Linked DNA regions of Arabidopsis thaliana. The protein of the gene in region 1 interacts with the protein of each later gene in a pairwise test. Each region holds a gene or a part of one and is shown in the gene's direction. Other genes may lie near its edges. The genes, in order: ZML2, CAO and ckl3.

What was found.
Region 2: the proteins of ZML2 (region 1) and CAO interact in binary tests that used the Arabidopsis thaliana proteins (3 or more experiments, as listed by UniProt).
Region 3: the proteins of ZML2 (region 1) and ckl3 interact in binary tests that used the Arabidopsis thaliana proteins (3 or more experiments, as listed by UniProt).

The regions. Positions count from the first base shown.
Region 1 is NC_003070.9:19,127,726-19,135,160, forward strand, and holds the start of ZML2 (ZIM-LIKE 2), read left to right. Parts: upstream 1-4,495; 5' UTR 4,496-4,941; intron 4,942-5,429; 5' UTR 5,430-5,450; coding exon 5,451-5,756; intron 5,757-5,929; coding exon 5,930-6,022; intron 6,023-6,111; coding exon 6,112-6,245; intron 6,246-6,353; coding exon 6,354-6,485; intron 6,486-7,074; coding exon 7,075-7,180; intron 7,181-7,293; coding exon 7,294-7,362; intron 7,363-7,435. Other genes in the region: AT1G51580 (RNA-binding KH domain-containing protein), read left to right, coding at 54-159, 240-377; MNS1 (alpha-mannosidase 1), read right to left, coding at 590-808, 913-1,083, 1,164-1,244, 1,323-1,421, 1,493-1,601, 1,696-1,761, 1,855-1,979, 2,122-2,211 and 6 more. UniProt on the Arabidopsis thaliana protein: Transcriptional activator that specifically binds 5'-GATA-3' or 5'-GAT-3' motifs within gene promoters.
Region 2 is NC_003071.7:19,469,259-19,476,693, forward strand, and holds CAO (chloroplast signal recognition particle component (CAO)), read left to right. Parts: upstream 1-3,314; 5' UTR 3,315-3,522; coding exon 3,523-4,644; 3' UTR 4,645-5,129; downstream 5,130-7,435. Other genes in the region: AT2G47440 (Tetratricopeptide repeat (TPR)-like superfamily protein), read left to right, coding at 654-713, 798-1,177, 1,262-2,402; MYB12 (myb domain protein 12), read left to right, coding at 7,180-7,312.
Region 3 is NC_003075.7:14,247,307-14,254,741, forward strand, and holds the start of ckl3 (casein kinase I-like 3), read left to right. Parts: upstream 1-3,828; 5' UTR 3,829-4,044; coding exon 4,045-4,120; intron 4,121-4,216; coding exon 4,217-4,257; intron 4,258-4,459; coding exon 4,460-4,529; intron 4,530-4,618; coding exon 4,619-4,767; intron 4,768-4,870; coding exon 4,871-4,966; intron 4,967-5,043; coding exon 5,044-5,114; intron 5,115-5,224; coding exon 5,225-5,286; intron 5,287-5,361; coding exon 5,362-5,425; intron 5,426-5,551; coding exon 5,552-5,636; intron 5,637-5,715; coding exon 5,716-5,842; intron 5,843-5,949; coding exon 5,950-6,026; intron 6,027-6,114; coding exon 6,115-6,172; intron 6,173-6,247; coding exon 6,248-6,384; intron 6,385-6,607; coding exon 6,608-6,742; 3' UTR 6,743-7,435. Other genes in the region: ckl4 (casein kinase I-like 4), read left to right, coding at 1-16, 139-200, 278-341, 480-564, 643-769, 865-941, 1,115-1,172, 1,357-1,484 and 1 more; AT4G28870 (mutator transposase MUDRA protein), read left to right, coding at 3,115-3,414. UniProt on the Arabidopsis thaliana protein: Protein kinase involved in blue light responses (e.g. hypocotyl elongation and flowering) by phosphorylating CRY2 to reduce its stability.

The DNA.
Region 1 (7,435 bases):
GGAATTTTATCCACTAATTTCACATTATTGCCTTTTGGTTATGGTGTTGGCAGCGAGAATCCAGTAATGACAAGTGCAAATGTGGAGATTGTGATTCCTCAAGCATACTTAGGTCATGTCTATGGTGAGAACTGCAGTAACCTGAATTACATCAAACAGGTATGTTGCCGATAATATATGAGCAGCTGGTCATTTTGAAAGGCTGCATCTGATTACCGTTTGTAAACCTAATCAACTAGGTATCAGGAGCGAATGTGGTTGTGCATGATCCAAAGGCAGGGACTACAGAAGGACTGGTGGTTGTCTCAGGCACATCGGATCAAGCTCACTTTGCTCAAAGCCTTCTTCATGCTTTTATTCTCTGTGGTCAATCTTGATTGCTCTCTTTTCAAAGTGTGTACAATTTTAACATGATAGTAAAAAAAAGCTCTTCTACAAATCCAAAAATCATAGGAAACAGTAAAGTACCTCTACAAATTGCTGTGGCAAAAACGTTGTCCATCTGTTCTTTAAACTGATACAACAATGTGCCTCAAACTTTGTGGTAATATATAATAATATCAAATTCCATTTGAGCAGAAACTGTCTACTAAACGTTAATCTGATGACCAAACTTCCTCTGGCGTAGTGCTATAGTTGGCTTACGCGGATCATTCCGTGCCACAATCTTAAGCGGATGGGCTTCTGTGTTGAAAACCCACTCGTCTAATGAAATAACAGATGAAGGCGAAAAGAGAAGATATAGATACTTAAGAGTCTCAGCTAAGAAGAAGCTTTGCATCTTGTTGTCTTTAGCACCTGTATTGACCTGAAAATGAAGAAGCAAACGTTAACAACGTGTTTCCGAAAGATGGAAAGGCCCACTCGAGGAGGGTATCTGATTGGTTAAGGTCAGCCCGGCTCGAAACTTACATCCTTCAAGCCTACATATCCAGATTCTACGCGAGAGTTCTTCTCAAATGCTTGAAATATATTCCATCCCCACTCTTGATATGTCTTGTTCCCAGTTAATCGCCAGAGGTAAAACAGTGATTCAACGGTTTCTGGTCTTAAAATGTTCCAAGATGTGCCAACACTCATGTCCTGAAACAATCATGTGCTTATGGATACGACATAACCAACCAACTAACATACAAACAGATGCGCAAAAAGTATTTACCAACCTGCCCTGCAGTGAAGAAATAGTTCTCTCCAGCAAGTTTCGTTGGTGTCGATTGGTAAAAGTTATAACAAGTCCAGGCAAGCTGCAGTAAAGTGAGGGAAACAGCAATAAGGACACAGCAGAAAGTTATACTCAACATACAATTGAGATTCTAAGGCACCTCTCCAGCAAGTGAAAGAAACTTTTTTTCTTCATCAGGGCCATAACCTGAAGCTCCTAAAGCCAACATTCCAGGAGCAAAGCACGCCAATTCATCCATCTGAATGTTGAAATTATGTCAAAACCAACAAAATTCTCAAAGTAGAGAGTTGAAATTAGAATAGTTTTTACCTTATCAATCAAATTATTTCCGTTCTTCTCACATATATACGTAAATGATGAAGGTGTTGATTTCTTGACCAAGCTTAACAAACCTTTCATTGATTTCTCCCACATATCTCTGATTCAATACATTAAGAAAGATTTAGTCCTTATCCTTTATTGCTGATATTGAATTACTTGGGTGTATATACACAGCGTCGAGCTTTACTTACCTATAGGGTTTCACGGCAGATGTTTTGTTCCCTTGCACCCAAACTTTGAGCAAATACTCATAAAAGCTGTAAAACCAAATTATTATTAAAAGTTAGAGAGCAAAGTCATGGTCACAAGACCCGACCAACACAAAATGAAAATTTGGAGGAAGAAACTACCTATCTCCCATGGCACCAAATGTTGTGGTAGAGTACGATGGATTAGCATTATCCGGATTTATATAGATGGGAAGTAAACCATCAGCAGGAAAGTTCTTATTCAGTTCTGTAATAACCTTCTCTACCTGAGAGACATGAGTTAGCAAACGTGTCAATCTTGAGCAGCCAATATTTTCTTCAGCATTAATGCAGATTGATTGCCCACTTTTTCACACCGAGTTAGGATATAAAGAAAATCTGTTGGACAAACTCAAAATTAGTATCTACCTTCTGCTGATATTTTGGGTCCCCTGTCCTTTGGGAAAGGGCAATAAACTCGAGCTGCTCAGTGCCGGAGTCTGCGAGAATACTGTCTCCCTAGTAAAACAAAAAAAAAGTGTAGCAATCAGTAAAACTGACACAGCACATGTCCTCAATGAAACTGAAACATATCTAAACCTGATCACACTTGGTACTCATTTCAAAGACACTGCATATGATTGCTAGTGAATATATAGTTAGTTAAGAAACTATAGCTACCATAAACTCTAAACGTAACACCTGTTTAAAAGTCTAGACCCCAAACAAGAATGTTAATTGTTGCATACAGAGAAACCATAACTTGGCTGTTTCTGCCGAGTCCAGATCTTAGTTTTTATACGGGGTTGAATCATCTAAGAAAGTGGTCAGAACTTGGATTTAAGCTATCAAATAGACTCTAAGGAGTCCTTTAGAAACATAATCAGGAACCTAAGTCAACTACAGAACAAGTGCACAGAGTTTCAGGAGCCATTTTTTCTAGAAACGAATAAAGATTTGTATCCAATCATTGGATTCCAAGGTTAGGCTTTAAAAAGATCTACATGACACAAGATGACACAATACAACATACACGGCACTCAGTAATCTAGGACTCACCCCTGCCGCCCATGAAGGATTGTGAGCATTTCCATTTCTCAAGTTGATAATATTGTAAGGTATACCCGTTGGAGTATTCCATGCAGGCAATAATCTGTCTGCAATATCCTTAGCCTTTTCAAGGAACATTTTGTCCCCAGAAAGATCATACGCACTAAGAAGTCCGCCTACAACTCTGAAGGCAGATAAAGAAAAAGAATATAAGCAGATGCAATATCCGTTCCCCATCTTATGTCACCAACTGATAATCGCAAATAAACTGACTCTTCCTACGATAATTACAGAAAACAACCACAGTAAACCTGTTAAAGCCACCTTATGGTTGTCTCAAACATACTGGCGTCATAATCCTTGTCGAAATCCAATGAGCTTGCAACCCACCTGCAAATAAAAGACAATAAGCAAATGAAGATTAGCAAAGATGAAGAAGTAAAAAGTTGGATTTGCAACTGGGACGAAAACAGTTACATATGAATAAATGAAGAGCCTGCAATTACTCACTCTCTGGCTTTTTGAAACTGCTCATCTAGACCCATTATATAGAGTGTATCTAAAGAATCTACCATAGTTGCTCCAAGGCCACCAAAGCTATCAGTGCCATCTTTTGTCCGAGGCTGACAATAAAAAAAGGAAAGAAACAAGAATAGCTTCAGACCAATATTTTTTTTGCAGAGTTCAGGAAGAAAATAATCTTAGTTCTTAACAAAATCTTTGTAGGCCTGGTAACTTCAGATAAGCTCATAATAAAAGGCTCAACAGGATACTGGAAGAGCAGGCACTAAACGTCAAAATAAAATTTGATTCATAGAGTCCGTCGTAAACTAGATTTCGTATTCACAAGGGTGAAATGTATTTTGGAAAATAATTGTATACCTGAAGCTCATCTTTCCCCCATGCATACTTTTCATAAGAGCTCCAAGCATGGATCATTGCCTCTTTTACTTTCTGCCTTCGCTGTTTATCAACTGGATCTTCTGGGGCATCCTTCAGAGTCTTCAAAGGCTTATTGCCAACACCACCATTAAGCTCTTCTAACTAGCGGAAAATATAGTTAGTTAGCTAAAACATTAGAAAGACTATCTGAGCCTAGAGTGAGGGGAAAATATTAATCTTACCATCTGCTCCAACCGTGAAACTTCTTCATTTAGCTTAAAAACTTCAACCTGCAAGACAAAAAAAAGCAGGACAAGTGAGAGAATGATCACAAGAGAAATTGTTCACTTCCTTGACATTTTTCTTATTTTGGTTACATAGCTTCTTATAAACGAATACATGAATTGAGTCCAGAAGATATTAATTACAGCTCTTTTCTAGTAAATAAAACACCAACTGTCTTACTTATAGACCTTGAGCTATGAAGGCAATCAAACCATTCCAGGCCTAAACCATATAACCTACTTCACCAAAATTCGAATTGGCCTACCAATAAGCTATGATACAAGAACTATCTCCTACTCCTAGGCAGAGTCTAACCAGATTTCATTAGACAAAACATACCTCATGTTCTCGGGCAAGATTAATACGATCCCAGACAAGCATAGAAACAGAGACGAAGACAATGAAAAGCAAAGCCAAACGTCTCGGTCTTCTAAGATAATACGCAGGATTCAAATATTTCCATATCCCATAACCACTAATCGATCTACTTCTCGCCATCTCTCTTCTCAACCCACTCAACAAAAACAGAGACCAATTGAGAAATCAGTGTCCATGAAACAGAGCAAGACAAAAGTTAAAAGCTTTTAAATTTCTGATCCGAAAAGAGTAAGAAACCGAGAGAGAAATAAGTCTCTCAAAGAACAAAAGTTATAGATCCGATTTTAGTAGTTAGAAGGAGGAAGACGAAGAAAGAATTAAAAAACGAAACTTTACCCAAAAACCAAAAGAAAAGTATTTATTTATATCTCCGGCACTTTTGCTTATTTATTCTTTTGATGATAAAATAATCAATCGAGTCTCTTTAGCCCCCACTGGTTCGTCTCTTTCTTCGATTTCTCTTTCTATCTGGTTTCCATTTTCGTCTCGTTGGTGTTCTGGTGGGTTTGGTTTGTCTCTGTTCTTCTATTTGTGGCGTTATCCATCGGTTCAATTGTCATCTTCATCGTTTCCGTCGTGTTATTTGGTGTTTCTCGTTTGGGTCTTTCGAACATCTTTCATTCTTCTCTTTTTGGTGTTGCTCCCCACGAACAGGTAACATCATCTTAACTCTTATATTGGTTTCGTGTGTCGTAATGAGGAACCTATATTTCAATGGTTTTGGATGTCGCTTTGTTTCAGGATTTGCTTTTGTTTCTTAGGGTTTATTTTGTTTGTTGAAATTATAAGTGAGTTTGTGGAATTGGTATAATATGGTTTATGTAAGGCTTAGAGCGTGGAAATATTGAAACTTTGGATTGAATCTGATTGATGCAAATATGTTAGAAGTCTGTGTTAATCTCTTGAAAACAAGCATTGATCCATAAGGTTTCCTGAATTTATGTATAGTGTTAGTTAGAACTTATATGTAAGTTGCTCCAATGACCGAGGAAGTAAGGTTATATAGTATGTGAATCATGTTTTGCTTAGAGCTGATTTGATTTGTCTGGTCATCCATGAATCGTGCTTATGAAGATTAGGTGTTTTTGTTTGAAGTTTCCAGTTTTAATGTTAATTTGTTTTACTTTCACTGTTATCATTAGGTAGATTGATGAAAAGCAACCATGGATGACCTACATGGAAGCAATGCTCGAATGCACATTAGAGAAGCTCAAGATCCAATGCATGTGCAATTTGAACATCATGCTTTGCATCACATCCACAATGGAAGCGGTATGGTTGATGACCAGGCTGATGATGGCAATGCTGGTGGGATGAGTGAGGGTGTGGAAACAGACATTCCTTCTCACCCTGGAAATGTAACTGACAATCGTGGTGAAGTGGTCGACCGTGGTAGTGAACAAGGAGATCAGTTAACATTGTCTTTTCAGGGCCAAGTCTACGTTTTTGACAGTGTCTTGCCTGAGAAGGTGAGTTAAGTTGTTACTGAGTTGGTTCGTTGATTGTCTCATTCCATTAGAATTTATATTCTTACTCCAAGCCACATTTTAGCAAGTGGTTGAAGGATCTAGTTAGCTTTGAGTTTTTTCCATCTATTGATTCTAATGTGTGAGTGCCTCTTGCTATTCGACGCCTGTTGCAGGTTCAAGCTGTGCTTCTATTATTGGGTGGTCGTGAATTACCTCAGGCAGCCCCTCCTGGCCTAGGATCACCTCATCAGAACAACAGAGTATCGGTAATAAAATATATGATGGCATTTATGGGACATAAGTTCCCTTCCTTGATACATTGCTTGACTGACTGACTGACTAATCAATGAAACAGAGTTTACCTGGTACTCCTCAAAGGTTTAGTATTCCGCAGCGATTAGCTTCTTTGGTCAGATTTCGAGAGAAACGGAAAGGAAGGAATTTTGATAAGAAGATTCGGTATACAGTCCGCAAGGAGGTAGCTTTGAGGTACATTGATGTCTAAATCAACAACTTGGTCTAGTTATACTTCTTTTATGGTTGCTCTCCCAAAATTAAGGTTCGCATCTTGATTACTTTTTGTTTTCTGGTATACAGGATGCAACGCAATAAAGGTCAGTTCACATCTGCCAAGTCAAACAATGATGAAGCTGCATCTGCTGGATCTAGCTGGGGGTCGAATCAAACCTGGGCCATAGAAAGTAGTGAGGCTCAGCATCAAGAGATCTCGTAAGTTTAGAAATGCTTTGAAAGTAAACTGCGAGTTCCTGACATACTTTTTAACTTGAACCAACTTAACGTAGTTATTATGGGTTTGCTAAGCAACTTTAGAAGTTGTTTTTGCTTCCAACCTAATGTAGCATCTGACTTAGTTATTAAACTGAACCATCCTAATGTAGAGATGATAGGTTTATTAAGCATCTTAGATGTTGTTTTTGGTTTCAGAAACGTTGTAGAGGTACTAGAACTCTGAAACCTATCAATGATTCAATATCAAGACATACACATTGCATATGTAATATTTAACATGAGCATGGACCTATACGAATTGGTAACATTGAAGGACCAATACAGACAAAATATTATATAAAAGCTCTTCCATGCCTGAAGCAAAATGACTTCTGTGATAGATGATTGGTTAAGACAGGTTGTGATGACTAATATTGTATCCTGGAACTGAGAATTTTTATAATAACTTTGGAATAGACAATTGTCGTTTAAGTCTTTGTAGATTTGAGTTTTTCTTCTTGATAGCCTTACTTTAGTTGGTAAGAACATATCTGATTTTACTTCCTCTGAATGGCTTGATACCTGTAAGATGTCGGCACTGTGGAATTGGCGAGAAGTCAACTCCAATGATGCGACGTGGACCTGCCGGGCCAAGAACACTTTGCAATGCATGTGGACTTATGTGGGCAAACAAGGCAAGACAATACTTGCTTCTTAATTTGATCAACTCTCTTTATCTTGCTCATTTTGTAGCACTAGTGATTCGATGATTAGTCTGTCTAAATGAGGACGACATTTATACTTTCAGGGTGCTTTTAGGGACTTATCCAAAGCCTCTCCTCAAACAGCCCAGAATCTTCCTTTAAATAAGAATGAAGTAAGCAACATCATGTTTTGACCAAACAATTTGTTGTACGAAAAGGAATCCATTCGTCTTTATCATAACTTGT
Region 2 (7,435 bases), on another chromosome or scaffold:
AAATCACATATCCTATTTCATATGCGAGATATGAACAACAAAGTAGTATACTTAATTGAATCAATAATAATCCAAATTAAATTTATATGGTTTAGATCATAGAGAACCTAAATATCTAAAACTAACAAAGTCTAAACCACCTCGATTAATTGGGAATAGGATGATAATATAAAGTCTAGATTTTGTTTTAGTTCAAAAATCGAAACAAAATCTTACTGTAATTAACTTACTACGTTCCCTTACTGAAGATTGATCACCACACGGTAAAAAAAACACCGTTAAAAGGTTAAACCAAAAATATTGCTAAGAAGACATTATTTGGTTAGTTGAATGAAAAATTAGGGAATGGGAAGTGTGAAACCTACCTAAAATATGGCTATGTAGATGATATTCATTGAAGAGAGAGAGAATATAGAAGTGTAAAAAGAGAAAATGGTGCCAGCTATGAATTAGAAGGATCAAAGCTTTCTCTGAAGCTGTCATCTATCTCTCTCTTTCCTTATAGTGCTCTGTTTCTCTCCACATTCACACACTCTCCCTCTCTCTCTCCATTATTAAATCACTTGTTGTTGTCTTTCTTTTTTCAAACCTTGGAAGCAAGGAATTCTTTTTTGATGATTTAATCGAAAGCTTCTTCCTCCAAACAAACATCAATGGCGGTTTATCCTAACGTTAATGGCGATAAGAAGCACTGGTGGTTCACTCACAGAAAGGTATAAGCGATCTCTAACCTGGAAATACAGTTCTTGATTCAAAGATCATCATCAATCATGTTAACTTTTTTTGGGTTTTCTCAGCTTGTTGATAAGTATATAAAGGATGCAACAACTTTAATGGCAAGTGAGGAGGCAAACGACGTCGCTTCAGCTCTTCATTTACTAGACGCAGCCTTATCTATCTCCCCGCGTTTGGAAACTGCGTTAGAGCTCAAGGCTAGATCTCTCCTCTTCCTCCGTCGTTTCAAGGATGTCGCCGATATGCTTCAGGATTATATCCCCAGTCTTAAACTCGACGACGAAGGATCCGCTTCTTCTCAAGGCTCTTCTTCCTCCGACGGTATCAACCTTCTCTCCGACGCCTCTTCCCCTGGCTCCTTTAAATGCTTCTCTGTTTCCGACTTGAAGAAGAAAGTCATGGCAGGCATTTGTAAAAAATGCGACAAAGAAGGGCAATGGAGGTAATATAACTTTTAACTCTCTTTTTTGTTTTACTTATTACTTTCAAGCAAAACGCAATCGTTGATTTTTAAACGCTGTTTCAGGTATGTGGTGTTGGGTCAAGCTTGTTGCCATCTAGGACTAATGGAGGATGCCATGGTTCTCCTACAAACCGGTAAACGCCTCGCCTCCGCCGAGTTCCGTCGCCGGAGTATTTGCTGGTCCGACGATAGCTTCCTTCTCCTCTCCGAATCCTCCTCTGCTTCTTCTCCACCACCCGAGAGCGAGAACTTCACCCATCTCCTCGCTCACATCAAGCTTCTTCTCCGTCGTCGCGCCGCTGCAATCGCCGCTCTCGACGCTGGACTGTTCTCCGAGTCGATCCGTCACTTCTCCAAGATCGTCGATGGCCGTCGCCCTGCGCCTCAAGGATTCCTCGCCGAATGCTACATGCATCGAGCCGCCGCTTATAGATCCGCCGGTAGAATCGCGGAAGCGATCGCCGATTGCAATAAAACCCTAGCTCTTGAACCCTCGTGTATCCAGGCGTTAGAAACCAGAGCCGCGCTTCTAGAAACGGTCAGGTGTTTTCCAGATTCGCTTCACGATCTAGAACACTTGAAGCTTCTCTACAACACCATTTTACGCGATCGGAAGCTTCCGGGTCCGGTGTGGAAGCGGCACAACGTGAAATACAGAGAGATTCCTGGGAAATTGTGCGTTTTGACAACGAAAACGCAGAAACTTAAGCAGAAAATCGCAAACGGAGAAACTGGGAATGTCGATTATTACGGCTTGATCGGAGTCAGACGCGGATGCACCAGATCGGAGCTCGATCGAGCTCATCTATTGCTATGTCTCAGATACAAACCCGATAGAGCCTCTTCTTTCATCGAACGGTGCGAGTTCACCGATCAAAACGACGTCGATTCGGTTAGAGATCGAGCCAAAATGTCGTCTCTGTTGCTTTACCGTTTGATTCAGAAAGGATACACCGCCGTGACAGCGATCATAGCCGAGGAGCAGAGGAAGAACGCCATTGCTCACGCTCAAAAGATTGAAGAACGCAAACCGGTTGAAAAATCCGGTTCTATTAAGAGAACCGGAAACGCTGAAACGAAACCGGTAAATTCCAATGCGTACCAAGGAGTATTCTGTAGAGATCTCGCTGCGGTTGGGAATCTACTAACCAGGGCTGGTTTCAACCATCCAATCCCGGTTAAATACGAAGCGCTCACCTGCTAAAAAATATTGAACCGAATTTTTTATCCTACCATGTCAGCCACTGGAAACGTCGTCGTTTCCGTAGATTCGTCTTCGGACAGAAAAACAAATCATTCAGCCGTCAAAAAAGAAAATAAAATAAGAAAATATATATACATTTGATGTATGAATACAAATGAAACAATGTATTTAGGTTTGGAAGATTATTCCAACTACAAGAAAATTTTGTCACTTTACTTTTATCTTCAATGTTCGTCTCCTTTGTTTCTTCTTCATCTTCATGTGCATATAAAACGACAGAAGCTTGATTTGCACGTAAATTAAAATACTAGTATCAAAACTTTTTTTTTCATTTTATTATCAAAATTATCTCTTAAGCTATTGAGCACTAATTTATTTTTTATTATTGAGTTCTCGAGATTTGCCTAGAAATAGTCGATGAGTCTGGCTCACGTCAGTAATATTCGGATGAGTCCTTATCTATAAAGTTTGGCTGCCATTTGATGGTATTGGGATGATTAATTTAATTAGGCAAATAAAATATAGATGGTGAAAACTAAATAAAAACTATTCACTTGCTGTATAATAATGTTAATACTCATATCATGTAAATCACTGAAGTGCAAATTCAAAAAAAAAAAAAAAAAAAAATGGTCTGCTTGCCATTTAAAGATGTTTAAAGATGGAGTAAGTATATATACACAAGTCGTAAAATCAAACACAAATAATATATTGACAAACTCATATATCATAATGTATACATACCAATTTAAATCCACAAGAAAATATCATATGAATGAGAAAACCAACCACATTTACAATTTTACTCATATTTATTTTATTGTTTTATATTTTTCTTTTCTTTTTGATGAGAATGTCTTAACACAATTATCTAGTATATAAAGATTTTTTCCAAAAAATAGAAGAACCTGTTGATTTTCTAAAAGTAGAAGAAAATAAGTGCAGTCCATAAAATAAAATCCTATAAAAATGTTAAAACTAGATTCTTTTTTAAAAAACTAAAATTTGCTGCAGACATCTAAAATTTTCGAAAATGATTGGGTGGCTAAGATTTCTTATCCACTAGAAAATCCAGTGAGTCCCGTTAACTCTCTTCTCTTCTCTAGTCTTGTCTTCTATTATGCAAAAGGTCTTCTTGGCCATGGATACTTGTGCTCTAGTAATCCATCAGTCTCTGTCTCGCATCAAACTTTCTCCTCCCAAATCTTCTTCTTCTTCTTCTTCTGCTTTCTCCCCTGAATCCTTACCGATCAGACGGATCGAGCTGTGTTTCCGAGGAGCTATATGTGCCGCCGTACAAAGAAACTACGAAGAAACGACCTCCTCCGTGGAAGAGGCAGAGGAAGATGATGAGTCATCATCATCGTACGGAGAAGTGAACAAGATCATTGGAAGCCGAACGGCGGGGGAAGGAGCCATGGAGTACCTTATCGAGTGGAAGGACGGCCATTCTCCGTCGTGGGTTCCATCGAGCTACATCGCAGCAGACGTAGTGTCGGAGTACGAGACACCCTGGTGGACGGCAGCTAGAAAAGCCGACGAGCAGGCCCTGTCACAGCTCCTGGAGGACCGAGACGTCGATGCCGTGGACGAAAACGGCCGGACGGCTCTGCTTTTCGTGGCAGGTCTGGGGTCGGACAAGTGCGTAAGGCTTCTGGCGGAGGCTGGAGCCGATCTCGACCACCGAGACATGAGGGGAGGCTTGACGGCGCTGCACATGGCGGCTGGTTACGTGAGGCCGGAGGTGGTGGAGGCGCTGGTGGAGCTGGGAGCTGATATTGAAGTGGAAGACGAGAGAGGGTTAACGGCGTTGGAACTAGCGAGGGAGATTCTGAAGACGACGCCGAAGGGGAATCCGATGCAGTTCGGGAGGAGAATTGGGTTAGAGAAAGTGATCAATGTCCTGGAAGGACAAGTGTTCGAGTACGCCGAGGTGGATGAGATCGTAGAGAAACGAGGGAAAGGCAAAGACGTTGAATATCTGGTCAGATGGAAGGACGGTGGAGATTGCGAGTGGGTGAAAGGTGTACACGTGGCGGAAGATGTGGCTAAGGACTACGAGGATGGGCTGGAGTACGCTGTAGCGGAGAGTGTGATCGGGAAGAGGGTGGGAGACGATGGGAAGACCATCGAGTATCTTGTCAAATGGACTGATATGTCTGATGCCACTTGGGAGCCTCAGGACAATGTCGACTCTACTCTTGTTCTACTCTACCAACAACAACAACCAATGAATGAATGATTGATTTTGATGATTACATTCTTCTCAATTTGCTTCTTTCTCATATGTGTTGGTTCATCTGACCGGTTCGGTTGGTACGTACCGGTACATTTTCATTTTCTTTTAAGATGTGATCTTGATGGTTTTTGGCCTTTTGGGGACACTATTTGATTTTATATCCATGCTTTGAATTTTGCTTCCCTTTTTGGGGAGATTCATGATGCTGGCTGACTTGCTCTTTATCGTCCCAGGTTTAGAGAATACATCGTCTTAGGCTTTTCTTTATCTCAAAACCCATTTACATTTAATTGGGCCTATATATTTCATATAGGAAGAGAGTACATGTAAACCCAATACACAACTTTTATTTATGGGTCCGTTTCTTGTAACATTTGTTGGTGATAAAAACAACTTCTGAAGAGTGATAATGTACAACTGCACTTTGCGATTAAGGAAATTATAGAAAGATACAAAGTCTGAATAAATGACTAGAAAATATGAATAAGTAGTATCCATTCTTCTCTAATTCAACATCATTTTTTTTTTTTTTTTTTTTTGACGATATTCGATGCATTGTGTCTATATGAGAGAAATTTTGGTTTGTCAGTTAATGGCTAGACTTTTATTATTATGAGCATCTAGATTTTCAGTGCATGTGATGTTACGTTGATGATGGACATAAGGAGACAAAAAGGACGGAGTTGATTTAGTACACATTTTCGTTTCTTTGTGAATACAACGATCGCCTATTTTTCGTTTGTAATTTTCCTCTTAATTCGAGAGGGGCCTCTAGTCATGTGTGTTACTTCTAGTTATAGTGACATGAACGGATGAGAAAAGTTTCTTTTTGTAAACAACATGCGTACGTAAATCAACCAAATATATTTAGTATAACAACCAAATTACTGTTGGACAACCAACCAAACAACAATTATGTAGATTATAGATTAGAGAAAACAAGGAACTAGGTCGATTAACCGCGACCACATTAGCCAAGTCCTCCAGTCGATTAATATAAATTGATGCCAAATATATTAGTTTTCACTGGGTTTTATATTATACTATCAGACCACAGAAGACATCACGTCACAGTTAACAACACTACATATTTCAGATTTTGTATGAAACGTAACTAGGTTTATATATGAGACCTTTTAACCAATTAAATGATAGTGATATGGTTTGTAACATTGTATTGTATGTATTTTAGTTGATGTGTGTGGTTGGTAAGGTATAAATTAGCTAGTGTTACGAAAAATGACTTCTTGCTTTTTCTTTCAAATTGAACGACGCTCTATTTCACTTAAATAAAACCACATTTAGTTATTTCAATGACAACATACTAAGTTTTTTCTTACATAAATTAAAAAGTAATTTTGGTTTCAGTCCAAATTTTTCTAGTTATAGGAAAGAAAATGAAAGAGTTGCTTTCAAAATATTGAATCCATTGTATTTAATTTTGAATATTGAATAGTATGTACTAAAGTCTTTTCTTTAGTAGACCAATCTAAATACGAACGAAAGTACCAAAACCATACGAAACGGCAAATAATGACATGTGGGGAACACGTAGTTAGATGAGCAGTAAATGGGAAACATATTTTGATGGTTGTCCTCATATTTTCGTGTATCGAGTTAGATAAGGAAACCTGTGAAAATTTATTTCTCAAAAGATTCCGTAAGATTCCGTCGAATATAATTGATATTTCAGTATTTTGGACTGGCAGCGAATATGGCAGACTATACAGATTGATCGTCTTCCGGCGTTGTTATAGACATTAACAAACTTTAACTACTCGTTTGCTTAATTAGGACCATCTGATGACTTTATTCTAAGTTCAAATTTAGATGACCTCTCTTTCTTGAACATATACTTGTTACATACTTAATTCATTGTGTTATTGCAATAAGTGAATTGTGTGGTTATCACTAACACGCTGACGTAAATTTACACGTGTTTATATGAACGCACACGTGTTTTGTAGCTCGAGCAAAAGACCATCTGGTCAACGGACTAGGAGGATCCGGCGTAAATCCTTTATATAATTTTTATCAAAATTATAAGAAGAACAAAAAATGTGCGATTACTATCTGATCTACGTATTCACGTGACAAACAACAATTAATTTCAATAAAGATCTACTAACTTTAGAGAAAAAATCTTATGTGTTAATAAAAAAGTAACGTCAATGATCTCGGCACACACTAGAATTAGTGTCTAAGAGAACCACGACGAACCTGCACGGACCGACCACGAGTCTCTCGACGGTGAATAAGCCACGACTTCAGTCTCCTTCTAAACCAACGTGGCGCTTCTTACACCACACACGTGTCATCATCTCCTTCTCCCTCGAACCCGCAAGCTCTTTTAATCCCTTTCAATTAATTAATTAACTATATATCACCTGCCCCTATATATATCTAAATCAGTCACTTTTTGCTTCTGTTGTCTGTCACTCAGTAACTTCTCTTTCTCACTTACACACTCTCTCTCTCTCTCTCCATTGCCTTGACTTTTGTGGTCAGTGGAATAAACACATATAACCGCCGGAGAAAATGGGAAGAGCGCCATGTTGCGAGAAGGTCGGTATCAAGAGAGGGCGGTGGACGGCGGAGGAGGACCAGATTCTCTCCAACTACATTCAATCCAACGGTGAAGGTTCTTGGAGATCTCTCCCCAAAAATGCCGGTAATAACATTTACACTTTTATTAACAAGATCATGCAACACAAACTTAATTTAATCTATAACAATGTATATATGAGAGAATAAGACATAGAGAAATAATCGTGGTTCTTGTCGTAATCTTCAT
Region 3 (7,435 bases), on another chromosome or scaffold:
GCCACATCCCTTATAGGTATTTGTGGCCATGGTTCATTATATTGTGTCTACCATCTGGAGGTGGTAAATTATCTTATCTGTTATAAGTTTTTAAGGTCACATTATACAACTTATTACCTTTTATTTGGTTGTATTCAGGGAAAACAAGAATTTAACAGGAACTGCACGATATGCAAGTTGCAATACACATCTTGGTATTGGTAAGGAATGCTGCCACTTTTTTCTCCCCTTTGTGAAGTAAAGTTTTTGCTCACATATTTCGATTTCTCTTTCGCAGAGCAAGGTAGACGGGATGACCTAGAGTCTCTTGGATATGTGCTTCTGTACTTCTTAAGAGGAAGGTGTGTTGACTTTTTGACTTGAAAGAACCTAGTTAACATTGTGTTTTTGGCAGGGTATTGTTTTTCCTTGTTTGAGATTTACTTAACCGTTTTCTTGCTTTACATTTTGTTCCTATTTTAATGAACCTCCTTTTCTAGCCTTCCATGGCAGGGTCTTAAGGCTGTTGACAAGAAGCAAAAGTATGACAAAATTTGTGAGAAGAAGATATCAACTCCTATTGAGGTCTATTTCCCTCTACTGTGTGAGTGAATTGTTTTTTGTTAATCCTCATTCAACTGAATAATATCCCATCCTTTGTAGGTTCTATGCAAAAGCCACCCCGTGGAGTTTGCTTCATATTTTCATTATTGCCACACACTGACATTTGATCAACGCCCTGATTATGGATTCTTGAAGCGGCTTTTTCGTGATTTATTCTCACGGGAAGGTACTTTGAGAAAGACATCCCTCCATCATTTTTATAATCCTCTCTGCTAGCATCAGTTATCTACCTAGCTCACTTAAACGTTTTCTTCTTTGCAGGATATGAGTTTGACTATATATATGACTGGACTATTATAAAGTATCAGCAATCACAGAAAACTAGAAGTCAGTCTCAGGTATAGTTTATCAATACCATTTGTTATTTTTTTTTCTCCAGGTGTATGCATATTTTGTCTTGTTCATAGAGAAGATTTCCTGGGGAGAAGTTTTACTTGGTTTTGCTATTTTTTAGTTTTGGTGCTAAATATAGATATGCCTGTCTTCCTAACAATAAACTGTCATGCTGCAGGCCGTTCCTGGGTCTAGTAATGCTCGTGCAATACCAATGGACACAAGCAATCATCGAGGTCAGCTCGAGTTATAAATTTTAATTGTGTCACTTTCTGATTAATTTTGTAATAGTATATGATGTGTTTTTTGTTTTCTCTCGACTTTCACACTGGACTCAACTGGCATAGAGTGTTTGGCTGATTTAGTTTCCCGTTGCAACTGTTTATTTCAATATCTTGATGCTAACTCTCCGTTTGGCAGGAGGAACTAAGATTTCACATGAAGCCCAAGTCTCTGACCGTGTCAGACCGGCTAATGCCAGTGGTCCAAGCCCACAGATTAATACCGCTGTAGGGAGGAGTCTGGGTTTTGATCAAGTCCACAAGAATGTACGTGCTTATTCATTTGCCTCTTCCAAATAAATGTTGTATCCTGCAACCCTCCCCCTTGTGTTAGCATCTCATGCCTGCATCTGTGTTGCTTCAGAGTTCTGCATGGTTCTCTGCTTAAAGCTTTTACCTGTTTTGCATGGTCAATTGTCATCAACGAGCTCTATATTGTGATATGAACTACATATAGCATAAATGATTAAAACACGATACTGATCATCACGAAATATGCTCTTGACCATTATTTTACTGAAAACCCATTGCAGATGAACATGCCATCATCCACTTCATTATCTCCTGCGGGTACCTCAAAAAGAAATGTCAGACCCGAAACCTCAAATTCTGGGTTTGGGAGCGGGAATAAAACCGGCGGTTGGACTTCACCATTCATGTCACCGGGGAAATGATGCAAAAAAAGTTGGAGTATATCATTCATCTGATCTGCTGAGCAAGATTATGTGTGCCTTTGGGTCTAAACTGTGATTTCTGCAGTGAAAAGCTCTAGACTGAGGTTGAAGATCTGAATGGAGTTTTTCCATGAACAGCTTACTGTTTGACAAAAGGCATGAAGATTATGTTTGCTTTCCTTCAAGATTCTCACAAATGACTGACTTCAACCTTTGTATAAAATCTTGCAACCGGGCGTGTAATTTGGTTCTTGTGATTCATTCTCCCAAGTTTTCTTCTATAAAACTTTGTTCGTATTTCTGTACGTAGTTCCCTGTGTTGGGGCATAACCTGGGTTTGCTGTGTCATCAACATTGTTTGCAGAAAATCAAGAGCAAAGCATGAGCAGCTTCAGCAGAGATGCCTTCAAAGGCTTGAGTCAAGAGTTGCTTGTGGCAGGGACATGTCACCATCAAGCTAATGTGCAGCTGACGAGAACGTAAAAGGATAAGCTATGGCTAGCTTCTGGAATGCTCCGAGAAACACTTCCCCCTTTTTTTTTCTCTGAATTTCCTATTCAGTTTAATGGTATTCTGTGTTTGATTTTTCTTACTCGATTTTGTGCATTGAAAAAAATTATATCAAAAAGCTTGACTTGATCCAAACATGCATTTTCAATTGCTATTATTAAAAAAAAAAAACGTATAAAATTGTAGTCTCAATATTGAAATACAAACACCTAGAATTGATCGATTTGGTAGAGAACTAGTTAGTGGATTAAATTTGGGTTGGCTGATTTTCGAGCCATAAACTATTTCGATTCTCAGCTTTCACACCCGGACTTTTGGGCCTTTAAATTTCCACCATCAACTTTCATATTCCCAAAATTACATCATCTATTTTTGGATTCATGCTTAAACATACATTTCCAATTGAACCATTCATTTAACCGGGATTAACCACAAATCCGCGTTTACTGTACCGCGATTGCGATTAACCCAACTAATACCCAGACCCGTTAAGAAAACGACGTCGTTTTCATTTCGTTTAACTCATCAAAAAGAGAAAGAAAACGACGTCGTTTTCATTCTTCTTCTTTAACTCTCAAATCGATTTAGTCGTTCTTCTTTAATCTCGACACTGTGAAATTAGGGTTCTTGAGAGAGAAAGACAAAAGGGGATTTGGGGTTTTCTTCTTCGGTTCGAATTTTTGGGTCTCGATTTGGGTTTCGAATAGGGAGAAATGAAGAATTGGTGGGAGGAAAGATTGATTTACCAAAGCGATCCAGATGACCCCGATTTCGAACCTCCAGAGAGTGACATTGAAGCCGACGATGGAAGTGATAGTGGTGATAGCGGAGTCGAGGAGGACGAAGCCACCAGAATCGAGGGAGAGGACGTCGGGATAGATGGAGACAGAGCTTCTGATGGAGAGGAAAATAGAGAAGACGATGGTGACATAGCGTCTGATGGAGACGTCAATCTAGAAGACGATGGAGACAGAGATGAAAGTCAAAAGAAGAGGACTACCAAATCGATTTGAGAGTTAAAGAAGAAGAATGAAAACGACGTCGTTTTCTTAACGGGTCTGGGTATTAGTCGGGTTAATCACAATCGCGGTACAGTAAACGCGGATTTGTGGTTAATCCCGGTTAAATGAATGGTTCAATTGAAAATGTATGTTTAATCATGAATTCGAAAGTAGATGATGTAATTTTGAGGAATATGAAAATTGATGGTGGAAATTTAAGGGCCCAAAAATCCGGGAGTGAAAACTAAGAATCGAAATAGTTTATGACTCGAAAATCAGCCAACCCATTAAATTTTCGAACCTTCATCATTTTGCAGACCCCAAAAACGGAAATCATCAAATCATCCACCGTGCCAGCGTGACATTACAAAATCACGTAAATACCCTCGTGTTTGTTTATAAGGTAAAAAAAGATTGGCGGACCCAAAATGGTGCAGTAGTTAGGTGTACAAATTTTTTTTTGAAGGATCACTACTACGGCTCAAACAAGCCTGGGTCCATGTCACTACCACCGATGTCAGTCAAACAAAAATAATAATATATGTTTTTAAGTTCCTCTAATTTCAATCTTCTAAACAACAACCCTAAATCCTTATCTCTATCCTTGCGCTTGATCCAGATTCGGTTCTGATTGGAGCTGCCATGGAACGCATCATCGGCGGCAAGTACAAGCTCGGACGGAAGATCGGCGGTGGTTCGTTCGGAGAGATTTTTCTAGGTTTTGTGTTCTCCTCTGTTCTTGTCCCTTTGGTTTTCCGAGTTTGCTTTTTTATTTGAAATTGACGCTCTTCTCTTCTGTTTGTTGTTTTCGCAGCTACGCACGTCGATACCTTCGAGATCGTAGCTGTTAAGATCGTAAGTCCCAGCTCAATTTGCCTTGAGACGAATTGAATCCATCCAATCTGGAGATTTGATTTGGATCTGCTATGTCTCTTAATTGATTTTGTTTGAATTGCTTTACTCTAAAATTGAGCAAGGTTTTAAACTCGGTGCTTTTTAGCTGCAATATATTCTTCAAGCTAACACTTGTTTTTAATTCAATCATTTTCTCTTGCAGGAGAACAGTAAAACAAAGCATCCTCAACTTCTCTATGAAGCTAAGCTATATAGAATTCTTGAAGGAGGAAGTATGATTCTCTTTCCTCTCTTTTCTCAGTTGTTGGACATTGGAGGGATTCATTAGCAGTACAATACTAATTTTTATGTTATGTGTCAGGTGGAATTCCGCGCATAAAATGGTTTGGAGTTGATGGAACAGAGAATGCTTTAGTGATGGATTTGCTCGGTCCAAGTCTCGAAGATCTTTTCGTCTACTGTGGGAGGAAATTCTCACCAAAGACAGTCTTGATGTTGGCTGATCAAATGGTATGGCATGACTTTCAACTATTCATTAGGCTATTTATAATATCTGTTGACTTATACATTGATTATCTAATGTGCTTCCGATTTTCTTATCCCGCTGTTACAGCTAACAAGAATAGAATTTGTACATTCGAAAGGATATCTGCATAGAGATATTAAACCCGATAACTTCCTCATGGGCCTAGGTCGGAAAGCAAATCAGGTATATTTCTGCAACTTCTTATCTTCATCAGATGCCATAAGTAGAGTATGGTATGATTGATAAGTCTCATTTTTCAGGTTTATCTAATTGACTTTGGACTTGCCAAAAGATATCGGGATGCCAACACCAACCGCCACATCCCTTACAGGTATTGTGGCCTTGGTTCAATATACAGATTGTAAATGATCTATCTGTTTTTAAGTTTTACGGTCACGTTAATCATTATACAACTTATTTCCTTTATTCGGCTATATTCAGGGAAAACAAGAATTTAACAGGAACTGCACGATATGCAAGTTGCAATACACATCTTGGAATTGGTAAGAAATGCTGGCATTCTTTATCCTTATGTAAAAGTAAATCGCTTTTGCTCATATTTTGGGTTCTCTTCACAGAGCAAAGTCGACGGGATGATCTAGAATCGCTGGGATATGTGCTTCTGTATTTCCTAAGAGGAAGGTGTGTTGTCTTTTTGAAAGAAACTAGTTAACATTATGTTATTTCGCAGGGTATTTCTATTCCTTGTTTTTAGAGATTTACTTAACTGTTTTTTGTGTTCCTCATTTCATGAACGTCCTTTTCTAGTCTTCCATGGCAGGGTCTTAAGGCTGTTGACAAGAAGCAAAAGTATGATAAAATCTGTGAGAAGAAGATATCAACTCCCATTGAGGTATGTTTCCCTATTGTGTGATTGATTCTTTTTTTGTTAATCCTCATTCGACTAAGTATATATCGATATCCCATTGCAGGTGCTATGCAAAAATCACCCTGTGGAGTTTGCATCATATTTTCATTACTGCCATACACTGACATTTGATCAGCGCCCAGATTATGGATTCTTGAAGCGGCTTTTTCGTGATTTATTTTCGCGGGAAGGTAGGTACTTTGGATAAAGACATCTCTTCATCATTCATAGTTCACTCAGCTGATAAGGTTCACCGGCATCATCTACCTACCTCACTATTATATGTTCTCTTTTGCAGGATATGAGTTCGACTATATATTTGACTGGACTATCATAAAGTATCAACAAGCACAGAAATCTAGAAATCAGTCTCAGGTATAGTTTTCAATGTTTTCTCAATCTTAATTTGCTGCTGTGTCACCTTTCTTGTTACTAACAAAAAGTATTGTCATTTCTACTGCAGGCAGTTCCTGGGTCTAGCAATCCTCGTGCAATGCCAGTGGACACAAGCAATCATCGGGGTTAGCTCTAATTAATAGCTTGTTGTTGCAATTGTTTATTTTGAAATCTCTGTTTTCTGACGCTCTGTTTGGCAGGAGGACCAAATATTTCTTATGAAGCCGAGGCCTCTGAACGCGTCAGATCGGCTAATGCCATTGGTCCAAGCCCACAGATAAATAATAATACTGCTGCAGGGAGGACTCCGGGGTTTGATCACCCTGTCCACAAGAATGTACGTATTTCTGCATTTGCCTCTTCCAAAGAACCGTTTTATTCTGCAAACTCGTTGCTTGTGTTAGCATGTCATGTATAGTATTACTCTCAGAACACTTCATGGTTCCCTGAAAACTGATTTTACCAGTATCGCTTTGTCAATTGTCATGAATTAATGAAACAATATATTGATCTTCGAGATGAGTTCCCTTGACTGTTATTTTACTGAAAACCCATTGCAGATGAACATGCCATCCACTTCATTATCTCCTGCGGGTACCTCAAAAAGAAATGTCGGACCCGAAACCTCAAATTCTGGATATGGGAGTGGGAATAGAACTGGTTGGACTTCGTCATTCATGTCTCCAGAGAAATGATGCAAAGAAAATGTAGCTTTTTCCTGAAATGGTGAGTGAGATGATGCGCTGTTAATGTGACTCCGTGCCCTTAATTCACCTCTGAAACTACAGCAGAAATCAGAACTTGGTGTCACTAACACCTTTGTATCTCCTCCACCTTTGGCTGGAAGAAAGATGCAATGGTTTCTATGTAAATTCTCTGAAGTGTGTGTGGACAAGAAGGCGTTGGTTGAAGCATTTGTGTTTACACACACAAGACATGAAAGTGTATGTGTGCTTTTCATTCAAAGATTTCCCCCAACCTTTGTATAATTCTTACACCCGGATGTGTAATCTTGTTATGTGATTCATACATATCATTTTTAGCTACTCTTTGCTATGTGATCAATGACCTTTTGCTGCAGCTTGATATATGTATACATGTTAATGGATAGCGTCATTCTTTGCAGAAATCCAGAGCCAAGCTTGAGCTGAGATGAGTCTTCAAAAGGCTTAGCAATGCACAGGTTTCTTTCACAGACGCCCAAGTTCGATTCTTATTTTTGTGCAATTGATTTATGAGGAAAGATTTTGAGAGTCAACATGGGATTCAAATAACTCGGAGACAGTGAGTAAGAAACTATTCTGGGAGAGAATAAAATGTTTGAGAGCTCATGAAGCCAGTTGAAAAACGATTTGATGCGCTCGGTCGGAGAAATCATCATCATGGAA